Linked DNA regions of Lepisosteus oculatus. The protein of the gene in region 4 interacts with the protein of the main gene of each other region in a pairwise test. Links are inferred from orthologs where the notes say so. Each region holds a gene or a part of one and is shown on either strand. Other genes may lie near its edges. The genes, in order: rint1, btf3l4, cep44 and txlna.

Region 1 (8,184 bases), on a different chromosome or scaffold from region 4:
GGTCCAGCAGCTGGCCAGTGTGTGTGTGTGTGTGTGTGTGTGTGTGTGTGTCTCTCTCTCTAGGGTCCAGCAGCTGGCCAGTGTGTGTGTGTGCTGTCTCTCTCTCTAGGGTCCAGCAGCTGGCCAGTGTGCGTGTGTGCTGTCTCTCTCTCTAGGGTCCAGCAGCTGGCCAGTGTGCGTGTGTATGTGTGCGTGCGTGCGTGCGTGCGTGCGTACTGTCTCTCTCTCTAGGGTCCAGCAGCTGGCCAGTGCGTGCGTGCGTGCGTGCGTGCGTGCGTGCGTGCGTGCTGTCTCTCTTTCTAGGGTCCAGCAGCTGGCCAGCGTGTGCTGTGATTGTGTGTGCCCTGGTGACTGGGGTGGTTCAAGCTGTGCAGTACTGTGCTATTGTGCTTCTGCCCCTCCCCCTGCTCACCTGAGCTCCTCGATGCGGCCCAGACACCTCAGGTAGCTCAGGTGCCTGGCAGTGAGGTCCAGCGTCCCCAGGGGCGGCCCCAGCCGGTCGGCCCAGCACTGCGCCCCCTGCAGGTGCTGGTGCAGCGTGTTGGACAGCGCCCTCTCTCTGCAGAGCAGGTGGCGCAGGGAGTCCTGGGCCTGCTCCGCCGCGGACAGCGCCGCCGACACGCGGAGGGGCACGGTGCTGGACACGGTCAGCACCTGCAGCAGGGGAGAGCAGACCAGGTACGTGTCCGTGTACGCGTCATGAGCACAGGCACAATGACACGCTTATCTGCATGTACACTCCAGTACGAAGACATTAAGGAAACCAAAAAACAGAAACACAGAACAACAACAAGTTAAATAACATATAACTTAAAAAAAACAAGTCAGACAAGCAGGGTGAGAAGAAAAGACAAAAAAAAGGCCATCAGTGTGAGCCAGCGGCAGGGGCAGAGTTCAGTAACCTGACAGCTTGTGGGAAGAAACTGTACGTCTGGATCTGGACGTATAAGCCTTTATGCTCCTATAACACTTACCAGAGGGAAGGGGGGAGACAGATGAGAAACCGGGATGATTGTTGACGTAAGTGATACCTGCAGCCTTCTTGAGACAGCGAGTTTTAAAAATGTCCACAATGGAGGGGAGCTGTACCCCAATAGTACACAGATTACGCAGTGACCACACAACACCGCCTCTCCCATCAGGACACACACAAACAACACAAACTGGCATGGGACAAGGAGAAACAGATTCTGACAAAGGACAGGCTCAGTGACCACAGCCTGGACATGGAAACTGGACACAGACCTGACTGCCCAGAGAGGACAGGCTCAGTGACCACAGCCTGGACATGGAAACTGGACACAGACCTGACTGCCCAGAGAGGACAGACTCAGTGACCACAGCCTGCCCATGGAAACTGGACACAGGCAGACCTCACTGCTAAAAGAGGACAGGCTGTGCTCCCACTGCCAGTTGGGAGACATAGGGACAGAGAAAAAGTTTCTGCTGCACTGCAAAAAATTCTCAGGGATTAGGCCAATGTTCTTCCCTAAATTACGACATCTAATTCCAGAATGCCCACTCCTGCCAGAATGGGAACAGCTTCAATAGAGCTGCAGCCCAGTATGTGATCTCCTGTCACAGCCTGAGGAACAGAGTGAGCATCCCAAATTATGGCCAGCAGCCATGTCACCCTGCAACTCACACCTGGCAGCCCACTGAAGCTCAGCAGGTGTGAGCCTGGTCAGTACCTGGATGGGAGACTCCTGGGAAAAACTAAGGTTGCTGCTGGAAGACATGTTAGTGGGGCCAGCAGGGGGCGCTCACCCTGCGGTCCATGTGGGTCCTAATGCCCCAGTATAGTGACGATACTTCGGATGAGACATAAAACCGAGGTCCTGACTCTCTGTGGTCATTAAAAATCCCAGGGCGTTTCTCGAAGAAAGCAGGGGTGTAACCCTGGCTTCCTGGCCAAATGTCCCATTGGTCCTTACCAATCATTGCCTCCTAATAATCCCCATCTCTGAACTGGCTTTGTCACTCTGTTGTCCTCCCCACTGAGAGCTGGTGTGTGGGAAGTGTACTGGTGCACTATGGCTGCCGTCATATCATCCAGGTGGGGCTACACACTGGTGGTGGTGGAGGTGAGCCCCCATTAACCTGTAAAACGCTTTGAGTGGAGTGTCCAGAAAAGCGCTATATAAGTGTAAACATTAATGCCTTGCTTATTGTTGCAGTAATTCATCGTTCAGGCATCGTTCAAGCTCAGCGAACCTGAGTGCCTGTCTGTGCGAGTCGCCCTGATTCAAGGTCTCGGTGGGAAACTGAGCCCCCTGCACAGAACAGGGCTGCCCAGGGGCCGAGCTCATCAGGGGGAAGAGATCGCAATATTTTCAACCCATCGCCGGAAGAGCGAGGACTTCTTCACACCCACCGCTCAGACTGATGTCACCTGCTCCGCATGAGGTCTTGCGCAGGGCAACCGCCCCACAGACCCCTCCTCATCTGGCACAACTCCCGGCAGAGGCCGAGCCGGGCTGCATGAAAGCGGCGCTTTCCCACGTCTCGGCTGGACTTTATGCAAAGGACGTTTTCTTTTGTGCCCGAAATGATGTGCATGACAATCGCACCCCGATGTGCCAAAGCGCTCACCGGCGGAGCGCTAACGGGGACGCAAACACACACAGAAAACTTCTCTCTCTCACACACACACACTGGCGTGTGGACTGTCCGTGTGTCTCTGCGGACTCGGCTCGTACACTTCAAACCCCAGTCTGCGGGCCGGTTCTCTGTCGTTTCCCTGCTTATTAGGATTTCAGGCACTTTTCCCCTCCTTGTGCTGCAGCTCATAGCGGGCGTGAAGAGCCTCATGTACAACGAGGATCAGCAAAGCGCGACCGTGTCGGCTCTGTGCCCCGGTTATTCCGACAGCTTCTCCGGCATTATGATGAGTTGTTGTTATTAATAATTACCCGTTTCTTACACTAGGACCCGAGAGGGACCAGGGGCGTCGACCCGGGCGTATAGCAGTAACAAACAGCCACTGGTTACTGGTCTCTCAGTAATAACGGGCTGAGCTACACTTTATACTGGCCGTATTATAATGAATGCCCTGCGCCGGTCCCGTCCTTTTATCCTCTTCGGGGCGGACAGCGCTGCAGACGGACTGCCATTGACCCACCCCGAGCCCCCGTCACCCGTGTCGCCCACCGGCTGCCCTACCTGCTCCTCCAGAAGCTTGTTTTCCGCCAGCAGGCTCTCCAGCAGGGCCCTCACTTTCCTCAGGGACTTCAGATCCCCGCCGATCTCGCTCTCCACATATTGGGTGACGTGCTCCGGGATGCCGTCCTCCTCCTCCCTGGACCCCGGACTGCTGTCCGGGTTTCCCGAACCGGGTAGACCGCCGCTTCTGGAACAGCCCCGCTCGCTCGTGGGCGCCGCCATATTTACTCGCAAGCGTCCTTCTCGGCCCGTCTCCACGTCAGCAGCAAGCGGGGGGTCGGCGCCCTCTTGTGGCAGCCAGAGGCATTGCAGGCGCTCCCCAGCCCGAGAGATGCCCTTCAGTTTGTTTTGTTTCATCAGCACGTAGGTGACAAACGAGGCGCGTTTGACCTGTCTAACACGTTTGGAATTTAGTACCTAATTAATTGATCCCAGGATCTCATCCAGCTGCTTCTTGGAAGTAAGAGTATCAGCTTCAGCAACATGGCCGAAGCAACATTGTTCCACAACCCTCTGGGTAAAGAAGTGCCCCCTGTTCTCGGTTTTAAATGCTCTTCCACATAGGTTTGTGCTTCAGTGCTGACTTTTGTCAGTGTCTTTGAGGATTTTGAATTATTGAATCAGGTGTTGCTACTAGCTTCTATATAACAAACAAGATGGGTTGAATGGCCTGTCTGCTCTCCATCCTGCAGACAAGAAAATATTTCCGGGGATGATGCAGAGGCAGTAAAACCCCAAAGCCTGGACTCAGTCAGGTTTGACTTGGCCATGCACAGCAACCCTTTTCTGTGATGGCAGAGAAGGATTCCACCATCACAGTGGAAACCTTACACAGCCTTTGTAACGTGCAGCTGGAGCAGAGCACTTCGGCTATGACTGTATCCAGGCGACGTTCTCTCCAAACGCCTCTGGATAAAAGCACCTGAAAAAATGCCCAACAATAATATAGGATGCAAAATGGCGCCATAAGTTTACAGTAAAAAAATCTGAGCTTCATGAAGAGCTCATTCCCACTAGCCCGCCGTTGCTTGTCCCCTGCTGAATCTTCCCTTCGGGAAGGCTGGACAGACTTGTTTAAGACATGTGGACAGACTGACCTGAGGAACAGCTCTCACACATGCCTGCTGACCGTTCCTGCTGGACCATTGCATTACAAATGACCAGTCTGACTGTGGAAAGTGAGCAAGGCCCTACTTCTAACAGGGTTCTCCTCTTTTTCTGACCACCCATCGTCCTCTCCCAGAAACCACAGGAACAGATCAAAGCAGACAGCCTAGCACCATCCAAGCCCATGCCACGCAGGTCCTGAGCTCAGGGAACATCACTGTATTATTGCCCTTTTATAAGGCAATAACCAGAGTGGAAAAATCACCGTACATACATGTTTTAGGAAAATAAAACAGAAGTATTTCAGCTGTTTGAAAGGTTGCCCATATAGAAGTTGTTTGTAGTTTCGGTTTTATGAATTGATCATTCATGATTGACTGTGGAAGTCATTTTGACGGTTGTGTAGTCGCTGAATCACTTCATTAGAGCTGACCGAGCACAGGGGATGAGGCGATTCAACCTGTTCAAGGATTACCCTGAGGGATCAAGAAAGAACACCCCAGAATCTGTCCAGCAGACGAAGAGAACAATGTCTTTGTGCCGTCAGAATGTGAAAGGCTCGACTATTCCGAAATCTGGCAAGATGTTACAACACGTAACAGCACTGACAGGGACTGATCTGGGAAAGCACGAGTCGCGATACCTCGCCAGAACCGACATCATGCACCGTCATCTCAAACTGCCACTGGACTTGCAGTCCGTTACAGTTCTCAGCTGTGGGGGCAGCTGAGCAGCCACTGTCTGCAGGCCAGACAATCACACAGAGGCCTAATGCTCATCAGAGTAAAGGGGGAGAGAGCCCTTGAGCCAAGGCCTCTTCAGAGATGAAGCATCGCTCTGCGTCGACCACCCCGATTGATGTTACAGATGTGACGGTGGTTGTGTACACTGGGCAGAAGTGTCCACTCACTACAGAACTCCACAGGCAGGGACTGACAGGAACCTGGCTGTTATACTGTGGAATCCCTACTATCCTGATGTGAGCCCCATCAAACATTTCTGGGATGAGCTGGGGTGATGTGACATCTAGGGCTCAGAGACCAGTGACCAGGCACAGGCTCCAGGCAGTAGGAGAGGAAAGGGACAGAATCCCACATCACAGCATCTGCAACCTGGTACAAGTCACGAGTCCCAGACGTACAGCTTGTACTTCCTCCCACAGTGGCCACACATGCTACTAGCCTGACCTGGGTATCCGCTATACAAACTGTCCTGATAATGTCGTGAATTTGTCACACCTACAGGCAATGTATTTTAGGTCACGTCTTTTCAATACAATTCAAAGTACTTATTACAAAAAATATCTTCCCCGATATGGCTGTAAACGTGTTGGATCCATAAGTGATGTATTTTATATCCGGTACACGATTTTAAATTACGCACGGGAGTAACCCCCCACCCCCCACCGCCGTTCGATCCACACAACGACACAGACTCTTGTATCGGCCATTTTATTCTTCGAGGAAGTCATCATCCATACAGGTGTCCAGTTTAAAACAATGGCGGCGGCGGCCCAGCGGGGCGGCTCAGGCACAGTGTGTGAAGCCGAGCAGCAGGGTGTGGCCGTCCCAGACGGAGTGGGCTGCAGTCACCAGCCGGCCGTGACCAGGACACACCTGACCGGGAGAGTACCAGGGTCCGATTTCATCTCGCTCCCTGGCGTCTGCTAGGAGCTTCTCCACCAGAGGCAGTGCTTCCCAAACCTCTTCAGATCACGGCACGCTTTTAACGTTAAATAAAATGCACCCATATTGCCAGAGTTAATTATTTTAAACTCTCAACATAGAGCAGTGGTTCCTAACCCTGGCCCTAGAAGAACTGTACCTCTATTTATTGCAGCTGAGTAATTAATCACAGGCTCACCGATCTCAGTTACCTATTTTGTAAATTCACCTGCAGCTCTTAAAAGGTCGATCGGGGCTTGTATTTGTCATCTGCTCTGTACCAGTTTCTGAGCTGCAGAGCTGCCCTCCTCCAGCAGCGCTCCCTGAAATGTAACTGATCAGACTTGTGCAGAAGGAGAAGCGCTCATTGCGTCATTCCCACCTCTACCTGCTCACCAGCAGCTGATCGGCTACCAAGAGCTGTTCACTCTGTAAGGTGAGGAGAGGCGGCACAGCGTTCTACATGCTGAACGTGTTGGGAGTGGTAACCTTGAATTCGGGAAATTTTGACACACAGGACTTACAGATGAAACAAGTTCAATGAAAGTCTAAACAAGAAAGCAGATCAATTAAGTCATCGATCAGCACTGGAGCAAAGACTGTTCCTTCAGGAGCAGGGCTGGGTGCCATTAACAGACTATAGCTGTGATGAGAAATATCACAGTTCACTTTTTTGGACTAGAAGCCTGATGTGATGATCTGAGTTTGTTTCAAGGGACAGAACTGTTTACCCCTTCGGTTCAATGCTGGGAAAAGCCACACAAAAACACAGATCTTTAAACAATCTCTTCCGATTCCACATGGGACCAGTTTGGGAAGCACTGCTGTCAGGGAGTGGGGCTCGCCATGCGTCACAAGATGAAAGGCTCCGATGGGCGGGCACGTACACCTACTCTCATTCTCCACTGTGCGGCTTTTTCAGCAGAGCTCTTAAACAACGGGCAATTTCAAATGAGAGTATAAAATAGAACATAACCAGGGGGCTACAAATGAGAAAAAATACCTCCCTGCACAGATCCCAGGGCTGTTAGAAACTGCTTGGCACAGAGAGTCAGTAGAGTCTAATCGCCACCTCCCTGCTCTCACTAGTGCTGTAAAGTAAAACGATTTCACTTCCCCTGCTTTCGCCTTAAATTGTAACACTTAAAAAAAAAGTAAAAAATAAAAACTTGCCCTTGTGCAATATTCTCCTCTCTCGTTTAAAAACACTGCTCAGAGGGGCGGCCGTCCGTGTGCAGGCCTGCTGGGCAGTGTGTCTGTCCTGACCCTTGACCCCTAGGTGTGGCCAGACCACAGCACTGCAAAACACACACACGCAACAGACGCGGCTGTACATATATACAGGAGCAGCAGCAACTTGTGCACAGCTGGACAGCCGCACAATCACGCAGCCCGGCTGTGCGGCACTGAAGCCACACTCTCGATGCCGGGTCAGGCGGCGCAGGTCAGCAGAGCCAGGTAGTGTTGAGCTGGGTCTGGTTCTTGATGCTGGTGTCCATCTTCAGTACCTCGCGGATAGCCATGGTGGCGTAGGTGGAGGGGGGCAAGGAGAACTCCATCCTGAGAGCCCGGTACTGACCCTCTAGAGACGGAGAGAGGAGAGGAAGGAGTAAATCCCAGTGCTCTGACACCACACTGCACCGCGAGGTCCCGACACCAGCTTTGAAGACGCCTGACTACACACTGTGGCAGATCACACCAGGCCTTCCTGTCCTTGAGCCAGCAGCGATCCCCCTTCAGAACTGGCAGCCCACTGGAGCTCCGCAGGCGTGAGCCTGGTCAGTGCCTGGAGGGGAGACTCCTGGGAAAGCCAAGACCACTGCTGGAAGAGGCGTTCGAGGGGCCAGTAGGGGGCGCTCCGTGTCCCAATCCCAGCTGGACCTGAAGCCTCCTCGGACCCACACCGCTCCCCCTTCTCTCTCTCTCTCTCTCCCTCTCTCCCTCCCTCTCTCCCTCTCTCTCCCTCTCTCTCCCTCTCTCTCCCTCTCTCTCCCTCCCCGCGTGTGTCCCCGCGTGTGTCCCCGCGTGTGTCCCCGCGTGTGTCCCCGCGTGTGTCCCCGAGGGGAATGGGAGAGAATCCAACTGACCTTTGGGGAAGACCGGCGGCGGTTTCCCCTCCAGCTTCTCGACATCGGTGTGCACCAGCGGGATGCGGGGGTCGTCGTAGCTGATCACCTCCCTGCGGGGACGGGGACAGAAGAGAGGGGCGCCCAGGCCGCGGTCAGCCCAGGACACGCGAGGGCCGCAAGGC
Region 2 (8,166 bases), on a different chromosome or scaffold from region 4:
GCGTTCTACAAAAACAACCCAAGTGAAGTGCCATGCTAAAACGTCCAACTCCAGTGCCTCACCCAGGATTTGAACCCACAACTTTCTCAATACAAGCCCAGATCCCTCACCGCTACTTTACACTGGTGTCCAATGAAACAGACCCTGTGACACTGGGCTTGTATGAGGTTACTCACCTCCTCAATGCCTGCAATGTTGTTCACAGCCAGTTTCTTGAGAGAACTTTGAAGTTTTTTGTCATCAGCCGTTGCTGTTCTGTGTACCACCTTCTTCTTCCTACGCGCTGTTCCCTGCAGACCGAACAGGAGAAAACGTGGGACAGAGGCACACATGCGCGCGCACAAAAACAACAGGAGTGGAGGAAGCCAGGAACAGTTTTGAGGATCCAGGATGTGGAAAGCAATGAATAACCAAAACAAAACTGCAAGAGAATGACAACATTTCTCTTTGAGATTAAGCTAACATTTCAGCCAATTCCCGTTAATCACAAAGAACATAGGTTTTCATCAAAAACCTGGAAGAACTGGCTTAAATTAAACCCTTGGATGTTTTCCATCATCTATCCCAAAACCCAGAGTCCAAAATTTGCTAGAAGCCATACTACTAAACGAACTTCTACAGAATGGCTTTGAAGAGATGGGACAGTAGAGGGACATGAGCCTCTTGTCCTTTTGAAATCGCAGAGCTGGTAAAAGCCACCAGCCCCTGCATGAATGGCACAAACCAAACACCACCATGAAAGGAATGCCGATGCAAGCAGAACTAGGGCCTGTGTGGACAGCACGAAGAGCTGTTTTTTTTCTTTTTACCCCTTTGCTTTGACCAAGCGGCAAATAACAGGGGTCTCCAAACAGTGCTCAACGGGTCCGTGTCCCACTCCACTGACCGGAGGGTGAGCTTCAAAGTCATCCCCTTCATCCGCCATTATCAAGGGATGCTCAGCTCTATCAAAGCCGCAAGACTATTAAATGGATGAGTCACAGAACGACAGGTTCACTGACACGGCCATTTCTGATTCTCATCCGATCAACCCCAGTAGACCTTGACCCCACTCCCAGAACGGCAGGGTGAATGACTGTGAACCCTGCCTCGGACTGCACCTTCTCCTCAGGGGTGTGCCGGCTTCCCAGGAAGAGGGACGAACAGCTTCACTCGTGACCGACGTCATTAAGAGCACAAGAAAGGCTACAAACGAGACGAGGCCATCCGGCCCCTCTTGTCCCTTTTGTAGTTACAAGCTTAAAGCCATGAGGATCCTACGGGGCCGCTCCTCGTGGGAAGCCATGAGTATCAGCTTCAGCCACGTGGCGGTCTGATCCCGTGCAAATGCTCAGACCGAGCAAGCGTCGAGCAGCCGATGTTGCCGCCGACGGCAAAAAGAAATGTCGCCCAGAATGCCCATCGAGTAAAACCTGGCCTCCATGTGCTGGTGTTGCATTGACTGGCAGCACGACACTGTATAACCAGGAGAGTTACTGAGTTACTGATCTCGGGGCTAACCGCACTGCCGATCCAACCTAGAGTGGACTGTAAACGCAGGGCTTCTCATCACGATCAACCGTTCGAGATCGTCTGATCCCGACTGGGACCGGCAGGGTCAACGCCCCTAGAGCTGGAAGTTGACAGGGTCAGGCCTGGTGTGGCTTTATCGACGGGTTTACAGGTACAGCGTGTCAAAACAGACCGTCCGCCAGCAAGCAGAACTCAGTCCTCATCTATCAATTAAACAAGCCAGGTGGCCTCCTGGCTTGTGACCTTGCGTTCTTGAAGAAGCGCTAGTCAGCGATGTGACTGCCGCGGACCTGCCTTGTTCTTTTGGGAAGAAATCACAAAAGTACATAACAAAAGAACAAGACATACGGTTCAAAATAACTGTACTAATGAAAGCCATTTGAGAGGGATAACTTGACCGGATTTTATTCTGTTACTACTTTGAATAGCAAAGACAAGCTGTAGAGGAGATCGGGGGTGAGAAAAAAAAAGACTCCTACCTTTCCACCTATTCGAACCTGGGCCTGAAGCTTGGCTAATTTTTCTTGATTCATAGCGTTATCTGAAACACAAAAAGAACACAGCAGCTTCTGTTACTTTTACAAGAAAGAGCTGGTACCTCACTCAGCAGCTGTGCCTGACGGAGCACAGGAGAGGCAGCTGGTGAATAAAGCTGTTAAGTTACAGTCATGTACCGGAGTTTTTAAGAACTTCAGTCAAAACCTCAAACTTACTTTCTTCTGCAGGGGGACAACTGAGTTTTACTTAAGTGCTTTAAAAACCTTTTTTAGGTCCAGCATTCATCAAGAGCTTCCAACCTAAAACTCGGTTTAGATGCAGAAAAAAAAAATACAGGAATAATCATAGTGACCCTTCACGTAAAAACCAAGGCTGTCCCCAACAGATCCACTTCACACGAGAAGGGACAGACATAAATGTCAATAAAAACACGTGTTAACGACAAGAGGACATTTAATCGGCGCCTTGATAAAACCTCGCTCTTTCACGGGCATGTCAGCACACACTGACTGATCAGGAAAGAAAAAAAAAAGAGAAACTGCAACTGGGTTCTGCCCTCGGCGCACTGCCTAGCGTACGAGATAAAACACACACACCGTAGTCACAATGAACGTGCCTTTATTAAAATGACCAGCACACCCAGCAAGAATGCGCCCACTTGTTCTGATACGCGATATTAGTATCACATACGAACAAAAATACCCACAAATCCAGCTCCAGGTTTATGCCAGCACTTCAATTTCTTACGAATAAACGCTAAGGCCCATTTTCAGCCAACACAGTAGTATTTACGCAGGCTACCATTAGCAAATACCACACTGTCCACACACTGTGGCCGGGGAAAAAAAGATGACAACATTCTATGGGTTCGTTTCGCACGGTAACCTTCTTCCCCGCACCTTTTTTACTGTTTTTCTATTTTCCGTCCCCTCTGCACCACTACAGCAGAGATGGCCTCTCTCTTGACGGGGATCCAGACACAGACGCAGAGACAGGAACACGCGGCGACGAAAGATGGCGGATCTAAGGGAGAACCTGCGTCCGCTATCACGTGACGGCCAGAGGCCCCGCCCCCCGCCTTGGCGGAAGAGAGGGCTGTCGCGGTGTCGCAGTAAATAACAGTCCGCCGGCACGACTTCCGGTGGTCACAATAATTTATAATTCAGTATACTAGATAGAAAATTCTGTAACAGTAGTTTTACTTAATGACTTTTAACACTTAATAATTCCTTAAATATCACAAAATTATAATATTGTATTTAAATTATATCACAAATTATTTTCAATAATACAATAATTTTGGAACGTCAAACTACTGCTCAATAATATTTTAGCCAAATATGTATTTTGTTGCTTCATCCCATCGCTGACTGCTCTCACATATTGCCAACCGCATCACATGTTGTAGCCAATATTAAAATAGACCGTCCATTGCTAGAATTTTAGATTGTTTTATTTCATAGAAGCCATGCACTGATATAATAGCAATTAACAACAACACTGTTATCTGAACGTTGAGTTTAATAGTTTAAGATATTTGATCACATATAAAAGAGGAGGTTAAAATTCCCCTTTAAGCAACCGTATATGAGTGCTACCTTTTATTTCATTTAAATAATATACAAAAATATTGCTGGAATAGTTTTTCGTCTCAAAAGTAACTCAAGATAGAGTGGCAATCCCCCGGACGGCGGCTTGGAAACGTGCTCTTCTCTGCTTAGCACTGCCGTGCGCCTGTATGGAAAATGGAGGTGAAATATTTACGATCCCTTTAATTACAAAAAAACGCAGACCGAGCCAGCAGCTTGTCGTCACTTCCTCGATGAGGTCGGACCAGGAGAGTAAAATTACGCTGGGGGTGGGGGGTTGGATTTTTTTTTTGTTTTGGTGGCTTGGCACAAGGTTGAGTCCTATATTTACCGAAATCTGAAACTCATAATGAAGATGCAGATGCCGCTGGTTAATTTTACTGTGCTGTGCTTTTTGGTCGTTCTCTCTGTGGTTACAGGAGAGGGGCTTGGCAGAGGTGAGGTGTGCTATATTTTGGTGATGAATGTTGAATTCATGTTGGTCGGCAGCGCGTTTCACTGAAGGCATCACTGCATGTCTGTTACAGAAATCTTTGTGAACCTTGTGTGGGTGAGAGAGAGAGAGGGACGAACTGTTTTTTTTAGTTAATGGTTATTTAATCTCCGAAAATCGTGAAATTCATACTGCAGTTCTACTAGTGAGATCCATGTACAGTAGTAGCATGTAGATTTCATTTGAGACTGAAGAGGTGAACTAATCATGTTTTCTGGTGTATAAATAAAATCCTTCGTGAAATATCTATTATGCTCGCATGTACTATACTAAAATAATATTTTATCTTGCATAATCACACTCACAAATCCTTATTGGCCTGGCTGATGCGTTACAGTGTTGCGAAAGTATTTAGGGATACGTTTACACATTTGTAACAAATCGTTTACGCAAACGAGGTTCCACGACAATGCCAGCAAGTTAAGTTCGAAAAGTGTTGTCTAATGTGCTGTTAATGGAAATCCGATTCTCTTTGCGTCAAAAATAAGTAGTTTCGCTGCAAAATATATCAGGTTATCTCCTTTTAAATGCTACGGTTTTGTTTTTCCATTTGTACTGTTTTCTACAATAAAACTTCGCCATTCATGTGATTCTCCAATTCCCCATAAATGAAGGGAGGTCATCGGACTTTCTTAGGACTTTCTAGGACAGACGGTTTGATCTTTATTTAATACGGTAAATCAGATTCATTTAGGACATGAGAACGGTTACAAACGTGAGCAGGCCGTTGTTGAGCATTTTTGTTGGATTATTGTTAACTTTTTCAAAACCTAAGCACACTGACCTGCTCCTCACATTGCAGTTGTCCTGCGGGTTTCTAATTTCCCGTGAATATGCTGAAAACTCTAAAACCAGTGGAATGAGCTTAGCCATCACAGTTTAAGGAAAGGTAGGTTCCATGAGGGACTAACCAGCTTGGGTAAAAGGAAAGCTCGAAAGCAGTGCCTATTGGCGCTGCCAGTTGTGCACTGGTCCTTCATCATTTACGTCCTCTTCCTCAGTGTTTTAAGCCTCCTCTCGTTCCTGCAGCCAGTGGAGAAGAGAGTCCTGACAATACGTGCACAGCAGGAAAGGCAACCTGTTCTGTAGAGAGGAATGGGTAATCTGCTGTCAGAATACAATATGATATACAAAACTGAAATATAAGACTAGGAGTGTCGCGAAACACTAAAGGCCGGTCAAGCTAGTGAATAAGATCATTGTTGTACCTGGAGCTGTCACAGTCAGGTTTTGTAGTAACAGAACAATGGTTATGAAAGATATTCATTGCCATTACTTTGTCCTTCTGACACTTCAGTACAGAATGACCTATTTATACAGCTAGGTTTCTTACTGAAGAAGTCTCTGGGAAGTTCTGTGCTCAAGGGTACAACAGCAATACCTCGCACAGGAACTGAAACTACTACCTTACAGTGAGCAGCCCGGAGGCCTCAACACTACTCCTCAATGCTGCCTCAATCTAAAACATCACTGTAACTCTGAGAGACCTCCTCTTGCTTTCTTTGAGTTCATTAAAGAAGGAAGCATATCTTCAGAAGCACTTTCAGCGCGTTTTTCCCCACTGACTGCATTTTTATGTGCAGTATGTGACTCTTGTTAGCGGTTTTGGTTTGATCTTCCTAGTAAACTATTAAAATAGCTCCTGAAATGAATTCTCCAAGCTGTCTGTTAACAAGTGTACAGGAGGAGGTAACTGGTATGGCGCACAGTGCACTGAAAGCCATTTACTGGTATTCTATTCAAGGGATGGTTACGGTATCAGTCAAAGCCATCTTACTGAAGCCTTTGAAGAACTTTTTCCCTCATTCCAGTCTAGATGCTTTGGCTACTCTTTTGTTTTTTTTTTAAAGACCAAAGAGAGTAAAACTCCCTCTGAGCTTGTGTCGGCTTAACTCCGCCACTGGCAGAGGGATGATCCCGCTGTTCCTGTTGTTCTGCAGGGTTTGGTGATAATATTCACTGGAGGAGTCTGGAGGATGGCAAAAGGGAAGCAGATGCTAGGTAAGAACCTGAGACGCCCCAGCCAGCCCGTTCGGCATATAGTCGCCAATTGGACCCAGGATCTCGCGCAGCCAGTGTATCGGATTCAACTGCATGGCAGGGTAGCTTGTTCAACACCCCCGCCACTCTTTGTGTGAAGAAGTGTGTCATGTTCTCAATTTTACAGGCCCTTTTCCCCCATTGTTTCCACTGTGATCTGCTGGTTTGTGTTGGTCTGGTCCCCTTTGTAACATCCTCTCTTTCCAGACGAAAATATTTAGTTCTTTTAGCTTGTTGACGTGGCACATGTTAAGTCTGAGAATGTATCTGGTCACTCTTCTGAGGACTGATTCCAAAGCAGCAATATTTATTTTTGTAAGAAAGAAAATCGTACACAATATTCTAAATGAGGTATTAGTTGATTGTTGTACAAGTTTGGCATCCAATTCCTCAAATTAAACCCTACACTTCAAATTAGATATCCTAACATTATTTAATTAGAACTATATAAGTTATGTACTACATTTACCCAAAAAATACCAAAGTTCTAGTTATTGTATAAACCTAAACATCATTCACCCCTTGTTTAATATTGAGTAGAAGAGCAATACAAGGTATCATTCAAGGGTATCGGCTTCCACAACTGGGCTGGGCAGCTTGTTCCAGACTCCTGCAACAACTTATTAAATGCACAACTTCTGAGTTTCCACCCACGTCCCCTTTCTTTCATTTTCACTGTCGATCTTTGCAGGATAGACATCTTTAAATATTTACCCCTTCCAAATTGCTTGTGTATGAAATTTAAAGAATATTGAATATAAATTAATAAAAAAAAACTGATCTGAGCTAGACTTAAGAGGGAAACGTAAGAGTTGAAAGGAATAGGGTGTTTATCTTCTGTGCCAGCCTCTGTATTAGAACATGAAATTTGTTGATCCACTCGCACTTATGGCGTGCTGCACTTGAAGTGCAGTGGACGCCAGTTTTGATCTGATATTTTCATTTCAACGGAGTAATCGGATTAATTTGTGAAATAGGAGCTTCTGGCTGCATGTTCAACGAAAGTCCGAGAGCTCCCGTAATTCTCGAGGACATTGAGAAATACAGGAGTTCTCCCTGCTGGAAAAGTCAAGTTCACTCCTTTCAGCTGCATCACAGTTGGTCCACTCGCTTTCACGTAACCTCTGTCGTTCTCAAAAAAGCCTCGACATACTGTATGATCTTGGTTGTCAAGAGACGCAGGTGGAAAGAGTGAGAGACTTCCCTTTGGGATCTAGTGTTCATCTCTGTCACCTGCTGCAGTAACCCAATACTTTGAAGCACAGGGACTGTACTGTAGTTTGCTTTCTTCTTTGATGTGATCCCTTTATGTCTGTACTTAATGCAGTACTCACGATAGGATTACAGATGTCCAAAACAAGCATGATAACAGACAACTAGACAATACAGCAACTGGGACACAATAAAGTGCCTTCTGTGACGAGGTGCTGCAGAGCGGACTGGGATGTACTTGTAAGTGATGATCAGTGACCACGTGGTCTGACTGTGTGTTCTGTGTCCTCATGTGCAGTGGCCTGCCCCTCATGGTCATCATACACAAGTCCTGGTGTGGAGCCTGCAAAGGTAATATTTTATACAGCGCCTTTCAAGAATCATCAAGGCGCTTTACAGTAAAACATAGCAAACGCAAAGACACGAGAAATGCACAGGTGCACATTTGAATACGGAAAACAAAATTAGACGTGGGATAAAAGTGGTTTTTATGATGGGTTTTAAAAGATGTGCCCACTACTGTCCTTCCTTCCTTCTGTGAGCCTGTCAGCTGTACAGTCTTTCTGCAGTTCCCCCTGTATTTCCAAAGCAACACATGTGTAAATTAGCATGCTGCTGTACAGGAAGGACAGCAAGATTACAAATCAGAGGAGGCCATACAAGTTACAGGTAGCAATGTGAAATGTAAGAAACAAAATAGAAAAAAAGTGCAATGTATTTCCTAATTCTTCCTGAGCATTATTTGATGTGCAAACTCACCTTCTTATAAAATGTTCATTTCTTTTGTATTTTGAAATAAACTACTTAAACAATTTACAATCT
Region 3 (7,397 bases), on a different chromosome or scaffold from region 4:
TAAGATATTTAAATAGACATTCAAAAACCCTCCCATTAAGGACACATTAAGTATATGATAGTAGCATGTACAAGAAGATGGGTCTTCTTATCCTCTTATAAAACTGCATTGCCCATTTGTTTGGGAGACTTTACACGTATCTATGGAAAATATTTTTCTTCTAACTGCAAACAGTCTGCACTTCAAACAGATATCAGCGCATCTGATCTTCAGTTCAGATCTGTTTTAGCTAGAAGAGCTGGTTAATGTAAATATAAGGGTGTTTACAAAACAGCTCACTTTTCTGCTGCCAGGTCTTGAACACAGATACAGGAAAAAACTGCACTAAATGTTTATTGAAAACATACACTTTCCTTGCATTCATATGGGACATAATTGTCAATTAACTTTGTTCTGATTTCCCCAATACAGTATAATGAGAAGTGATGTAACTCTTAAAACGTTCAATTTTAAACATTCCTCTAAGGTGGAGACAGGTTAACTGTCCTTCTTTAATCTATGTAGTTAACAGTCTCATAGTCATGACACACGGTGTTGAAAAACTTTGCTGTGGCCTATTTCTTGTGGAATTTATTGGGGCAAAAACGAGGCACACAATATATTGATGCAATTCCTTACACACAACTCTTTGTAAGTCAAGACAGAAATTACTTTCATAATACCTGCTGTGTATGCGCTTATGATGAAAACCATGCACATATTTTACCGCTTATTTCCATAAAGAGAAAGAATGTATACCATATGTATCAATACCACAGCACTTCTTAAAGCATTTCCTTAATTTTAATTTCTTTTAACTTTTTTTGAAACCGCGGACATAAGAAATTAATATGGTATTAATAAACCCTGAGGTAAAATAAGGTGATTCAGCCAGGGTAATAAATCTAACAACAGGTCCCATTTTTCCAAGTTGCCTTTTTCCTTGACAGTTTACAAAATGGCATGGTAACAATAAACTACAATAGCTGCCAGAATCTCTTCCTTTTAGAAAGCTGTGACCTTACAGCCTACAAAGGTTGAAACAGAAAGCATAACAAAAAATTACATCATAGGAAATTAAAGAAACGTGCTTATACCAGATGTTAATCTAACTATTAGTAAATAAAACCACATGTATGACATGAGATGTATAGAGGTTTTATAACAGGTCCTTAGAAGGAAGCAATGACTAAAGAATAAAGTAAAAATCTCCTGAGGGCTTCTTGTGCCCCTTAAACTGTAAGGAAACCTCCATCAGACATTATGTCCATCACATTTGCATCTAAGCAATTATCTTCTTTTGTTTATAGTTACTACTACATCAACCACTACTTAATAATATAACTTAAAATCAAGACAGTGGCTATAATAATGCAATGCTTTAACTGTTTTTCTATTAGTCTGGACATCTTCACAATGTATATAGGAAACAATATTGTCCTTTTGAGATTTCGTTTTCCCAAACATAAAATACTGTTTTAAAGGCAGGAGATTCAAGTAGAATAACTTCTAAACAGACCCCCTTCAGACTCTTGAATCATCATTTCTGCTTTAGGTCCTATTTTGCCTTGCTCAAGAGTTAGTTTTTTTTTCCCCCAAGTCATCTTTAACAGCTGCTTTAAAGTTGACGGGCTGCACGTTACAGATTCTACACAAGTTTTCTAAAGCTCTGCTAGGTTGTGATTCACAGATCACCAACAGCATTCACCGTGTCTGGGGATTTAAAGCTTTTCAGGGCCAACACTAGCTCAGAGGGTACTGCTTTTAATTGAGTCATACATTCTACACATATCCTTTATATGGCCTTATATACAGTATTTACACCAAAGTAGACAACTCTTTATCATTACAATGAATTGGCAAAGGTGACAAGGCTGCATGGGCGGATGGGAGAAATGGAATACAAAAGACTTTCGTATAGCTGACAAACAATTATACAATCGCTCTTACCCAGTGTAATCCACTTCTCTGGGATAATTAAGTAATCGAAGATGTTGGTCGAGCTTTCTCAGACTGCCTTTCAGATCCCCCGTTGCCATTGTCACTGAAGATTTTTGCGTGTGTGTGTGTGTTTACCTGATGTTTCTGAGCATGAAAAAACAGTGGTCAATACGTGAAGCATTTTTCACTACCCGAATAATGACGATAAATTACAAAATACACGACTCGATTAAATGTAAGAATACATTCTGAAAGGTACCGACTACCGTACATGTGGTTTATCTGACAGTTTGCCCATTTCTCTTGGGCAGTATCTGTAACGTACTGTGCATTTATATCGTTTCTTGTTATTGGTACGTACCTTGCTACCTACAGTAACTAAACCAACAGTTTCCTATTAATTTATTAAATCAGTACAGTTGTGAGGAAAAGGGTTCTGTTTGAACTTATTCAGCTGCTTTCCCTGTTTCATTAAGTCGTTTCAGAAGCCAGGAAAATGCAGTGTTGCCACGATAACTCCGAGAACAAACAAGAACAAATGGATCGCCCACACCAGAACTGCAGCAACTGTTGTTTTAGATTTACTGTGATTTGTGCTGAAGAAGGTTATATATAAGGTTACATATTGTGGTGAGAAGACCACAATATGTAACCTTGAAAACGGTGCAACACGTAAACCGACAAATTAAGAGATGGTGCCATTAAAACAAAAGATACAAAGTGCAAGTCAGATGATTACTCTCGACTTGTTAGAATAATGCAATTTGAGTTCCACTGCAAACTTTGTACATGCACCAGCGCTAGGATTTGAATTACCAATAATAACATTTGAGCAATCGACAATTATTGCAAACTTGAAACTAACAGAACTTCGTAGGTCTTCTTTTAAAATGTTAAGTTTTTAACTACATGCACCTTTCCTCTTTAAAAAGTTTTACTTACCAGTTTATTTACAGCTGTAGTAACTAAAACTCAACAGCAATACAGTAACAGCAGTGACAATTTATATATCAGCTGTATCTGTAATTAAAATCTAAAACTTGTAAATGTTACACTCGGTTACTGTTATAAATCACGAATTTATTTTCAGATGCGAAACCCTGATATAAACTATCTTGCTAACTACCGTAAACACAATTCTCCTTTACAAAAAAAAAATCAGTTTGTTCCTTGCCGGGTTAATCATGGGAACTGCCGCCATTGGTTAACTACATATAAGCATACAATTATCTTTAAATTAAGAGACGCACATTCGATAACAATTAAAGTCAATCTGTTTGGCCCAGGTGGTGAAAATATTTTTTTTTTACTGAATGTAACGAAATTTTACATTATTGGATAGCATGAATGTGTTATGCTGGTTAAGTCTGTTTTTTTTATAAAGGAAATTGATCCCAAGATAGATTTACTCATTTACTTTCTTACGTCATTTCCACCAACAACACGGGACGTCAAAAGTGACAGCAGTGGAGAGGCTGACGGAGCGAAGTAGCTCCGGCGGTCACGGATAGGAGGAGGAGGTGGCAAGAGGCGCTACAGACGCAGGTTAGACAGTACTCGATCTTCCTGTGGAAAAGACGGGGCAGCTTTGGTCTCAGATGGGTCTGCTTGGGAACTGATCGCGGAGGAAAAGAGAAACATTCCTGCGAAAGTGCTTGTTAGTCTTCGCTGTTTCGTCGCGGCGGCGGTGGTAGAATTCCTTAGTTTGAACAGGTAGGTGGCGTTTTCTTATGTTTTGTTTTTCCCTTGTTGTTGCTGTTGCTGCTGTTGTTGTTGTTGTTGTAAATCAACCGAACTTAACAAAGAAGGGAAAACATTTGAGTGTCAGAAGGCCAGGCCAATCACAGCAGTGGCAGATTTCTGTAGAAGCCACCTATGGTGGAGTACAGGCGTGGACCTCAGTCAAGCTTGCTGAAGCGGCACCAGAACCGCTGGGACTTCTCGGGGAGCTTTTTGAACAAAGTCGTGCGCAGGACCTGTTGTTTTGTCGGACAATGCAGTAGGCACAGCTTCGTCACGCCTGTGACGTGCAGTGTTCAGTCGCCTGGTGGCACAGCACTTGTCACAAGTTGGCGACGTTCATTTTTCCTGAGTATTTGGTGATTTATGATCAACACTTGTTTTCACAGCCAACGGGCGACTGGATCTTATGAGTAGCTTCCCCGCGAGTTGTTAGTGAACTCCTGCTGCGGTCACAGCCGAACACTAGTCGAGTAATGCTTTAATAGTCGCCGGAGGTGCGTCGTTACATTGATTTTAATATCAAATACAAATATAAGAGATGTACCTAAATTCTACGAACTGTAAGTGTAGCCAATGGACAAAATACTTCATGAGAACACCAGATGCTGTTCCGTAATGCTTCAGGGTGGATAGCTGAACTGTAACACTTTCTTTGAATTACTACTGATATTTTTGGAGAGTTGGTTGTCATGCTTGTAGATTCTTGTCTAATGTAGCTATTAATGAAAGAATACTATCATAGTTATTTATCTGTGCCAGCAGCCTCTGCCCCTTTTGGCCTAAATCGGTCTCAGATCTCAGAAGCTTGCAGCGTTTTTCCGGTCAGAAACGTCTCCCTGGACCAGAATGTTCGCATCAATACCCCAGTCTGGTGACAGTGTGGAACTGCACTGTAGAAAGAACCAGTCCTTTAGCATCTGATGGCATTGTTAATGAGAGGAGTGCTTTTAACCCTGCTGTCCTATCTCTTTGGGATTGTGCATTCTGGCCTAAAAGGTTTCCCCCCAATTCAGCCATTAAATATATTTCTGACTTCTCGACCCTGCCTTACTTGTAATGAGGCTACTGGTGCATAATTGCATCAGTCATGGAGGCTGCAGTTTATATCCTACATAATGGAAGTAGTATTTGTAAGTTGGAATTATTATCACAGTGGGCCTGCTTTATGAAATCTTGTGCTGTTCAGCAAGACGCATCACATTTTATATGTGTAAACCCAAAGTAAGCACCTTACTTCAATTATTAACTTCTTTTTTTTTTTCAGACTCTGCAGGTTTAGGCCTTCTGAATCTCAGATGTTGACCCTGTTCTTGCTCTAGGCAGATCAGCAAAACGGAGCTGCGTACTCATGTACAATGCAGTAGGCCTATACAGTATGTGAAAAATACAGCAATCTCCTCACTGGAGGTTAGTGAGCATTTACATTTGAAAATGCCTTGAATCAGTCTTCTGTTTCTAAATAAGCGTATTTGCTTCAGAAAGCATGCCTTAATCTACCCCCTTCATTAAATGTATTTTTTTTTCTTTAAGAGAATCTGTATTTGAATAGTAGAGACGGCAGTAATCAAATTTAAGTGTAAAATAATGTATTATCACTGAACTGCGTTTTTGTTTAGTAGGAACCACCACTGAGAATCAAGTACTTGATTGCCACCTAGCCTACTATATGTTCGGAGTCGAGTTGTATAAGAGTATCCTGCAAGATATCAGGAGTTTTCCAAAAAACCTATTATGAATAAAATGCATCTACTGAAGCTACCTCCGTTTGCTGTATAGTGGTTTCCAGTCTATGAGAAACACACGTAACACCATAACAAACAAAAGGGCAGGAAATCCCTTTCTGGGAGTAGTGTGTTATTGCAAGTTATTTTTGGTTTCAAGTGAAACCTGTAGACTTCAGATATTTTACTGAAGAAAATCTGAAATGGCAATATCGAGAGAAGTGTTTGAAGATGGCTAGCACACTGGCACAATGCTGCCTCTCCGCACTGAGGCCCTGGGTTCAATTGCTGGGGTGCTATCTGCATGGTGTTTGTATGTTTGTACATTGAAGCACCCAGAGAAAACCCACATTTTCTCCAGGTGCTCTCTTACAGCTCAAAGACATACTGGCAGGTTAATTGGCTGCTTGGAAAAAGGTGCAAAAGTGTGTGTACTCTGTGAAGGACTAGCGTCCCATCCAAGGTGTACCCTGCCTTGTGCCTGTTACCTGCCTGGATGAGCTCCTCCCCTTCTGTGATCCTCTGGTGGAGAATGGATAAATAGACATCTGTTTGAAGAGAACAGCTTGCTGGATAGGTGCTCATATTGAGTCCTGGTATATTCATTTAAGTCTAAAAAATTTTGGTTCATAATTCTTCTTGACAAAAATTATGTTTCAAAGTTATTTAAAAACTTCAAACCAGATGTACCTGTACTTTTTTTTTCATTTCAGCATGTAATTTCATTCTCCCCTTAATATCAGTGATTTCACTGCTGAAAACAGATATAACTGTGTAAGCTTTTTTTATTTTTTAGATGATTAGGTGTTTTATAGAGTCTGTTAAAGAGTTTGTGTGTATATCCATGTCTGAATTTGTATGTGTTGGTATAGCAGTGTTTTATGTTTTTGACTGAGGGAGCTATACAGTTATTAACCCATCAAAACATTTGGTAGGTAATGTTTGAAGATGGGTGGCACATCGGCACAATGATTAGGATAAAGATGCACACCATTCAGTTTGTTGGAAAAAAATATTTTTAGACTTGTCATTGTGTTAAATTATCTACGGTATATCTGACCCATTTCAAAGTGTAGTTGGAATGAGAGGGATGTAGCCAATGGATTCACGTCACAAGCTAGTCTTAATAGAGCAATTAACGCTTCCCTTTTCAGCTTTTTCCCCGATGCAGAGATGGAAAAAAAGTAGAATATTGCAGAATTTACCATTAAATTGAGCTTTATCTCACTTGGTCATTTAAAAATATAAATGTCTATCTTTTGGTAATGTTTTTCAACTGTGAAAATGGGATGGATGCCTTGTGCAACGCTATTGAATAATCCCTGATCACTCATATTTGTGTTTTTATGTTTTTTAAGGTTTTTGTACAAGATTCTGTACCGTGTGCATTACCATTAATACAGAAGGTTTTCTGCTGCATCAGAAATAAATAGAAATCAGTACTGTAGACATGATATAGGATAGGATTTGATGTTTTGCGCACATCAGGCCTCTTAACTGGCATCCTCTCATTTATAGCTTTGTGCTTTTAGCCATGTTGTTTGAAATTTTGAAAATAATATGCATTCTATTTTATTTACTCTTACAAAGCTTTGCCCACTCCTTATCTTGTCTGTACACTCTATGCTAGAATGTTGAAAAGCAAGTTCAATTATAGTGTCAGAATCCTAAAGCTGTCCTGCCCACATTACATTTTAAACAATTAGAAATATTTTAGGAATGCCTCTGTGGGGGATGATTCTGTTAGGTTGTGATCACAAAGCTGGTAACTTGGCAAAATAATTTTGAATCCCATTATAATTAAACAAATAACATCATAGATAAAGCAATGAAGGTGCTCTCATCCCAGACCAAATATGTAAAGATATGTTTACGACATAATTATATACTTCTAAAATAATAATAAAATAACCCCACTTTAGTTAGCCTATTAATTCTAAATAGGTTGAAAATCCAAGTACACATATGAAGAAGGGCTTCTCCTCTTCCTTTTCAGGCCTGTCATTTACTGTG
Region 4 (8,049 bases):
CATCAGCAGCGTGATCTCCTTTCCTGAAGGACAAAGGAAGTGCACAACTTGAGCAGGACCACTGACATTACCGAAGACAGGCGGGTGGTCATGTAGGTTCCAAACCACACGTGCTGGACAATGTCTCGTCTTTGTTCCCCCCAGTTCAATCTAAACTATTTCAACTGAGTCTAAAGCCGCAGGAGAACTGCCCCACTGCTCCAAAGTGCAGTGACCAGCGAGTGAAAAGTCTTACCGAGGCCCTTAACCTTTTTCTTCTCCTGCGGTTTCTTCTGGTCTTTGTCGGCGACGTCCCCGTTGAGCTTGGGCTCCTCCGTCTTGCCGTCTTCCTTCTCCGCCAGGCCGTTGACCACCAGGCAGTCCAAGTCGGGCTCGCCATTGCGGGGCGACTCGCTCCTGCCCTCTGCTGGCTCCGGCGGCGCCCCGTCCTCCCCGCTGTCCTCCTGGCAGTACGTGTTCAGGATGTCCTCCAGCTGCCGGCTCAGCTCCTCCGACACGTCGCGGGACACCGCTGTGGAGGGCGGGACGCGCACCGTCAGCGCGGCGCCGACACCAGTAACGGGGAGTAACGGCTGCAACTACTGAGGCAGACACTCTCGTCTAAGCCGCTCAAGCTAACCTCACTTAGAGACACAGTCTAACAGTTCTAGGTTTCAGATCGAAATGTTTTAAGATGCTACATTTGTATCTGACGGACATTTGCAGGTCCCATCAGGACACAGGAGAGCATGGAAGGAGTGTAAGCACTCTGAATGGTGGTACGTCTAAGTAACGCTGGCACATAAAAAGATAGAAGCATCATCACCTTAAGACCTGAGGAATAAGGGTTTAATTGGAATAATAACTCTTCTAATAGTTCACCAACCACAAGGGATCCTAAGGCTGTTCATGACAAAGAAATCTAAAATAACAGCTACATTGTGGTCACCTCTAACAGGGACTTGAGAGCTCTTTCCAGAGAATGTCAAGCCTTTCACCAGTGGGGCCTTTAAGTCATCTTTGACCTTCAGGACAAGAAGCAAACATCACATATGGACATTCTGGATTGTCATTTCATCTGTTTCCTAGTGCCTCGGCAAGGTTTTGATATTTGTTCCCTGCTGGGGAGCTGCAATACTCTAAGGACACTGCATTCGTAAAGCCTGCGATTTGACGAGATGTGCAATGAAAAACATCTTTTACCTATCGCCGGAATAAAAAAATAGATTCATGTTCACTGGTGATTGAAGATGTTTAAAGCCCCCATCAGTTTGCTATTTCTGGTAGCTCCAACGCAAGCCTGGACTGCAATCATGTGAGCTACCCTAGCAGGGACCAAACCTATCCCCCCACTGGCTGTTAGACTGTCTCCACTTTATTCAACTTCAATTCCTTCTGTCCTGAACTTCAGCCAAGACCAGGACTAGCTGCTTAAATGGTTTCCCACAAGACTAAGAGGTTGGGGTGGTAGGTTCTGTTAGAAGACATACAGTGTGAAGTAGTGTATGATCTCCGGGTTATTTCTCTGCAGCGCTCCACAGATGCGAGAGCAGATTCCGACTTACCCCCGTTCTTGGCCTGCGTCTCCGGAGGCGGAGTGTCAGGCTGCTGGTTGTCCGCAGACTCCTGGCTGCCAGCGCGCTCCAGAGCCGCCCCTTCCCCTTCTCCGGGCTGAGCCCCACTGCCTCCGCACAGCTGCTCGGGCCCTTCACTGTCCTGCTTCTTCATCACGGCGGCTGCCAAGAGGAAGGGCAAGGCATGATGGCTGGAGCTCTGCAGTGGCCGCCGTTTTCACTAGACGCTGCTGTTGCTGCGGTTACACTGCAACTGAGGTGGTGATGATCACTACCCATGCCTGACAGTGACCTCTAAAAAGCCAGAAATTCCAATGGCTTACACGTCATGTATGCAAGGGATTACCTTTTCAATTTTTAATTTCAAGGAAAAGGCTCGGGCGGCACATTGGCGCAGTGGTTAGTGCTACTGCCTCTCAATGCTGGGGCCCTGGGCCCAGTACCGGACCTGAGCTGCTATGTTCACGGAGTTTGTACGTTCTCCCTGTGTTTGTGTGGGCTTCCTCCCACAGTCCAAAGACATGCTGGCGGGGTAACTGGGCTCTGGGAAAACTGGCCCAGATGTGAGTGTGTGCGTTGGTATCCGTGTGTGCCCTGCGACGGACATGGATGGATTTCAAAGACAACATTTCCTCCTCTCAGAGCAGAAGAGAAAGAACAACGAAATCGTGAAACAGACACAGAGCTTCTTCTGAGCGCGCACCCCTGCTCCCTTCGACACCCTTCAGGCGACAGGCACACGTATCCTGTCATGAGCTACGAACCCTATTAAGAAATTCATTTCTCTTGCGTGATTTTACATCATTCCAGGGGATAGATCCCCAAATTAAGCAAGGAGCACGTTTAGAAATGCGCACACATTTCCTGGATTTCGCAGAACCAAACCAAGATGAAGCCAAACGTGAGAAACAGGAGACAGTGCAACAACTGACTCGGTCTGTTACTTCAGTGACACGTTTCACACGATTAGCCGTTTCTTTGAAGCCACTTACACCGATTTCAAAACCAGCCTCTACAATATTATTCCGGATCAAGGCTCCAACAGGACTGCAGTAAGACCCCGATACGCCTGCGTACCTACACTAAAATTGACATGAGATTCCGTTGTGACAACGTTATTTTTTGTTTTGGAAATCACTGAACTTCAGTGGCTCCAACCGCCTGAAGCCAGCCCTACGACACTTAAGTGTCTTATTAGTATCGGACATTGTTTTATTTTCGCTTCGTGTATCAATCCAAAGTTTCTGTTAACCCCTCAACAAATAGAATCATTACTTTAAAACATGCGTAGGGTTGTCCATGATAACGCATTTGAACAGCATCACGTAGGTGGGACAACACGATTAAAAAAGGCAAATCAAGTTACATTTGGCCGACTGTAATAGACAGTCCCCTTTAAAACCAACAGTGATACAAAACTAGTAACAGACTTTCTTAAGCAAAAAAAGGGGTGAGCTAAACTTAAATCTCTTTAGAATATAATCGAACAAAAAATCCATGTGGATCACAGCTAACGACAAAAGTCACTACGATATCAGCAAAATAGGATTACTGAAAAGAACCGAATAATTCTTCATCACGTTCACTAGCTACTCACAACTTCACGTTATCGCCTATACATACAAAACACAGTTTCGTAATTCCAGTCTTGCTAAAAAAAACTAGGCATTTTGTTATTTCTACGACACTTACCACTGAAATAATATCTGTATCGTCTCAAACGAGCAAATAAAACACTTCAACACTCTGCTTTCCTGCCAACTGACACACCGGAAATACCGGTGAATTGGTACATTCTGATTGGCGACGCCGTAAGCGGATGTGCAAGATAAAAGGAAAAGACGTTGGGGGAAAGTTGGAGAGGGTGGGCCGGAGTTTCGCAATGCTTCATGGTCGATGTAGTTTCTTCCTGCTTCTAGAGGACTTCAATCACCACAATGCGCTTGGAAAAATAAACTTTCTGTTTCCCATAACCGTGACACAAAAAGCTGTTGGTAAAAAGCGAAACTTGCTCAGATAAAACAATTATGGCACTCCTAAAGCTAACAAATTCGCCCCCGGACACAAAAGACAATTCTAAATTATTGTCCAGATCTAAATAAATAATGATAACCGCTCATACTCTATTATTGGCACCTGTTAAGGTCTGTGATATATTTTATGATTTGAGCATAATACTTTAAGCAGTGATACCAGCGTGTAATGTTAAAATAAACCTTTAAGGTAGTGGTAGTATATAGCCATAAATGAAACTTTTTTTTTACTACTTTAGGTAGGGTTTCCATTTGAACGTTCAAAAGAGAGGCCACTCTGTCGACGGATGACAGTGGTATTTGTAGCAGGGTCTATTAAAGTATCTAAGGAAAAAAATCTCTGTTTTGAAAATTCCTCCTGGACAGATAATTAAGAACTACAGGAGTGGACACGTCTGGAAAAAGACGTCTGTATGGTAACCCCACTTCATGGGAATCCTAACAAAATAATACATTTTATACATGTACATGTATTATTATACAATAATACGTGTTTTTTCACACATTTGAAAATTTCCAATGGTTCTCTGCAGCCCTGAAGAGTTTTTTTTCCTGCTTTCTGATGTATTTACGCTTGGATTTTATATTTATCGATTTTTTTTTAACAGCTTTATCCAGTGCTTGGTCACGGAGAAGCCAGAGCCTATCCTGACAAGTGCCTGGGGTCCAAGCAGAGTATTCCGTAGGTGGGACACCAGTCCCTGGCAGGGCACACACACACACAGTCACACTCACGGCAGGGCCAACTTTCCCAGAGGTCAGTCAACTTACCAGTATGTGTTTGACTGCAGAAGATTGCCACAGGGACTGTGGGAGCAAACTGGGAGAACCTGGAGGATCCCCACAAGAAATGGGGGAGAACATGCAAACTCCACTCACATGGCACACAGAGAATTGAACCCAGGGCCCCAGTGCAGTCGGTATCTTTGACCCAAACGCATCCTCGCCTCGCAGAGGCTGCCAGACTGGAATATTCCAGCAAGGACTGCTCCATTACGGAGGGGGTGTGACCCTGATCCAAGATCCTGATCTGCAACCCACATCTTTGCATGTGGGCGTCCTCTGGGTACCTCATTTTCAGGATGGACACGGTGTTTGGCATGTAATGTCTCAGCACTGCACTAATGCTGTTTGTGACATCTGAAGGAGATTGGAGATTGTCTCAGTAAAACGTCACATCCCAGTCTGAAGCTTGATCACGCTCTGCATGAGACTATCATACGGCAACACACATGTTCCTGTTAGGAAGCAATATGTCATCTTACTGCAGAGGCGCCACAAGTTTCAGTTGAATCAATGGGGCCTATACACTGGCCATGCAGCTCAAAGAAGTCTTGAGGCTAATCATAAGACTTTATTGATCCCAAAGGGAAATTGAGGGATCGGATTAATCAATTAAATTAAGATCAGACAAGATTACTTTATTAGCCATATACAATTTCTTGAATTAGGAATTGCTCTTTTCGCATACCCCAGCTTGCTCTCCATAGGACACAGGCACACAGACAGAGAGAGAGAAGCTTGGGGTCAGCCATTTAGACAGCACCCCTGGAGCAGTTGGGGTTAAGGGCATTGCTCAAGGGCCCAATGGATTAGGATTCCTCTGGCGGCCGTGGGATTTGAACTGGCTACCTTCCAGCCACAGAGCCACTGCCCCGCCCGTTAGGGGTAAATACTTCCTGGTCCCAGTTTTTATGTAAAGGATGTTTGCAGTACATGCAACATGTGAATCACAATTAACTGGATATGTTCAGAATTTATGTCAGTTTCTTCTTCAGGGCAGTGTTTTCTGTTTCACCAAGGAAACACAACATGAAACATCAGAATGCAGATTTTATTTTAATCACACTGGTATATATGCATCTCTCCCGATTCTGGTGCATACTAAGGTATGCAAGACAATTGGTAGATTTTGTAAGTTCCTATAACTGGTCACAACACAAAGAAAACACACAAAGATTGCAACAAGATTTCAATGACATTTTTATTGAACTTTTATTCTCTTACAGTATTTGTAACCCTACATAACCTTTTTCATTTATTTTGTTAATTTCTGTTTCATGTTCATGTATATGTGTATCATGTTCTGTTCGTGTTCACGTCTGAATCTGTCCTCACACTCATTCACATGGTCGGCTGAAGAAGAGTCAGTGTCAAAGCGTCAGTCACAAGCAAGCCAAAATCAAATACAAAAAGAAAATAAAGGACCAAAAAGGGATCTCAGGGTTATCCAGTATAGCATATATCAAATCTGCAGAAACACTTTCTACAGCCCTTTCCAATTCTGTCCTCACTCCCCACCTCATTACAAGTACGTGATCCATCCTGAACCATAAAACTCTGCTCTGTGGCACATATGAAACATGCATAACTACCCTGTAAACTGAATTGGAATACATACAATAAGTGTTTAAAATATGCAACATAACAGCACAAACACCTTGCATAAAAGCTCTGTAAAGGAAACAGTAAAATAATAACACCAAGACGTATCGGAAATGGAAGCAAGACAGGAAGGAGGGAATTAAAACAGACTCGAAGGATCAGTATATGGATGTGGCTATTTTAAGCTACTGGCTGATCCTGATTTGTGGAATTCATGACCGAAGACAACGAACACTTCTGCAGTGTGAGAATACAACTATCAACACATGAAGTTAGTGCTACAACTTGCAACTGGATTTGTTCTTCCAAGTTTCTTGATTGATATGTAAGAAACAAACCTGTGCTTAAAATTCCACCAGATTTGTAGAATATTCCCAACCACTTAAACGAGAAGGGTGGATTTATCCTCTGTCCGCACAAATGGGGGGAGGTTTCTATTGCTATATCTGCATGGTTCATGTTTTCACAGTTTGATTCGGGAGGTCTGTAAGGAGATTTCTTTAACTAGAAATTCAGAAATTCCGCCAGTCAATTTTATCCCATCCTAATCCCAGCTGACTAATGTCAGTAACCCCCACTGACCACCAACATTCAAAGAAGACTGGAAAAAAAAAAAATCTGCAAAGCTGGTGAACAGACTGTGGAAGTCTAATGACTGACCAGAGGTTCGAAAGCCCAGAAATACTTTGTGCTGACCATTCTGTGACCACAACCACTGAACTGAGACAAAAACCAGAAGAGCTTGCGATCGCTCGACATGGAAGAGCCAAGCAGGTGCTGCCCAAAAACCGTGGCTAACTTCTGCAGCATGCTGCCATGAAAACAGGGAGGTGCACCCTCAGCACGGCAGGTAAGGTTCATACAAAAACAATGACCAAAACTCCGGATACAGATACCATGGCTTCCATCACTAGCAGATCTGAAAACAGTACTACACAATAAATTAGAAAAACAGATCAACCCGACAATTAAATAATTCTGATCCAATATAAAGAATTTAGTGCAAGAACAGTAAAGGACACCACTTTTTTTAAAAAAATGTAGCAGGTAATGTAACTTCATCAGTTAAGCAAATAAAGCAGCAAAGTTTGCACAAACAATTGTGCACATTCAAGTACAAAACAAGAAGTCATAAAGACCAAGAAGATACTCAGACAAACCTTCAGGGACTTTATTGGTCAGATTGGCACTTCAGTGAATAGAGGAGTGCATTACTCTTTTTTGTTCCAAACAATATTCTCACATTCTTCTTGTGGATATGTTTCCTGTTATTTACATCTACAGGTGCAAGTAAACTCTGGCTCGCCAATCCAGTAAAAAGCTCTCGGGCTCCACCCTAAAGCAAAAGGAGATGTTTTTCTCCATTCCTTCTCATTTAGACATTTTTATTAGTAACACACCTGTTGCTTAGTTATTTTTACATGCCAGTGTATGGCACTTTCTTGTAGAACTTTTTTTCCCCCCAAAATACCCAACACCTATAAAAAAAAATCCAAGACCTAGATGTATAAAAACATCTCATTTTCAAACAATCTGGAATATAGCCAATTGACAACGTAGAACTAAAATGTACAAAAACTGTCAATAAAAAAAAATACTGGAATATTAATAGATATTAAAAGGAAAACATGAAGATGGGGAACATTATCACAGGGCTGCAACCCAGCTGCATTTTTGCATAGTTAACAGCCTACACATCTGAGCTTTGAGGGCAGTTACTAAACCAGCAGAAGTGTCTTGTATCTGTGAACAGCAGCAGGACAGAAAAGCAAATGAGAAACTAGATTCTCACAGAAAGCACGCCCAGCTCTGCTGTAACGCACTGTGGGAGCTTTCTGAAAGGATGAGAATGTCTTGCAATATTGAATGATTCACTCTGGATAATCATTCAAACATCACACAGAAGGCAAAGGCAGCTGAACCTCTCTCACAAATATATGCATAGGTACAAATCACACCCTTAAATAACATACATTCATAAACACACACACAAATTTATATACATATGCGCACACACACGACATGCATCCTCTGAAATGTCTTTTATGGTCAGCTAAATCGGCCATTCCTTTTACAAA

Evidence for each region.
Region 1: the proteins of txlna (region 4) and rint1 interact in binary tests that used the Homo sapiens proteins (3 or more experiments, as listed by UniProt). The two-hybrid records come from large-scale screens. The link is inferred for Lepisosteus oculatus from reciprocal best matches to the Homo sapiens genes TXLNA and RINT1.
Region 2: the proteins of txlna (region 4) and btf3l4 interact in binary tests that used the Homo sapiens proteins (3 or more experiments, as listed by UniProt). The two-hybrid records come from large-scale screens. The link is inferred for Lepisosteus oculatus from reciprocal best matches to the Homo sapiens genes TXLNA and BTF3L4.
Region 3: the proteins of txlna (region 4) and cep44 interact in binary tests that used the Homo sapiens proteins (3 or more experiments, as listed by UniProt). The two-hybrid records come from large-scale screens. The link is inferred for Lepisosteus oculatus from reciprocal best matches to the Homo sapiens genes TXLNA and CEP44.

The regions. Positions count from the first base shown.
Region 1 is NC_090702.1:48,097,099-48,105,282, forward strand, and holds the start of rint1 (RAD50-interacting protein 1), read right to left. Parts: upstream 3,435-8,184; 5' UTR 3,385-3,434; coding exon 3,163-3,384; intron 655-3,162; coding exon 413-654; intron 1-412. Other genes in the region: pus7 (pseudouridylate synthase 7 homolog), read right to left, coding at 7,379-7,515, 8,021-8,112. UniProt on the Homo sapiens protein: Involved in regulation of membrane traffic between the Golgi and the endoplasmic reticulum (ER); the function is proposed to depend on its association in the NRZ complex which is believed to play a role in SNARE assembly at the ER.
Region 2 is NC_090704.1:3,619,588-3,627,753, forward strand, and holds the start of btf3l4 (transcription factor BTF3 homolog 4), read right to left. Parts: upstream 3,080-8,166; 5' UTR 2,910-3,079; intron 2,054-2,909; 5' UTR 2,046-2,053; coding exon 1,992-2,045; intron 291-1,991; coding exon 177-290; intron 1-176. Other genes in the region: txndc12 (thioredoxin domain-containing protein 12), read left to right, coding at 3,949-4,036, 6,033-6,093, 7,643-7,695.
Region 3 is NC_090696.1:73,394,623-73,402,019, reverse strand, and holds the start of cep44 (centrosomal protein of 44 kDa), read right to left. Parts: upstream 3,420-7,397; 5' UTR 3,346-3,419; intron 3,145-3,345; exon of another isoform or gene 2,863-3,144; intron 2,065-2,862; 5' UTR 2,019-2,064; coding exon 1,930-2,018; intron 1-1,929. UniProt on the Homo sapiens protein: Centriole-enriched microtubule-binding protein involved in centriole biogenesis. In collaboration with CEP295 and POC1B, is required for the centriole-to-centrosome conversion by ensuring the formation of bona fide centriole wall.
Region 4 is NC_090706.1:3,310,681-3,318,729, reverse strand, and holds the start of txlna (alpha-taxilin), read right to left. Parts: upstream 3,357-8,049; 5' UTR 3,246-3,356; intron 1,716-3,245; 5' UTR 1,708-1,715; coding exon 1,545-1,707; intron 512-1,544; coding exon 236-511; intron 24-235; coding exon 1-23. UniProt on the Homo sapiens protein: May be involved in intracellular vesicle traffic and potentially in calcium-dependent exocytosis in neuroendocrine cells.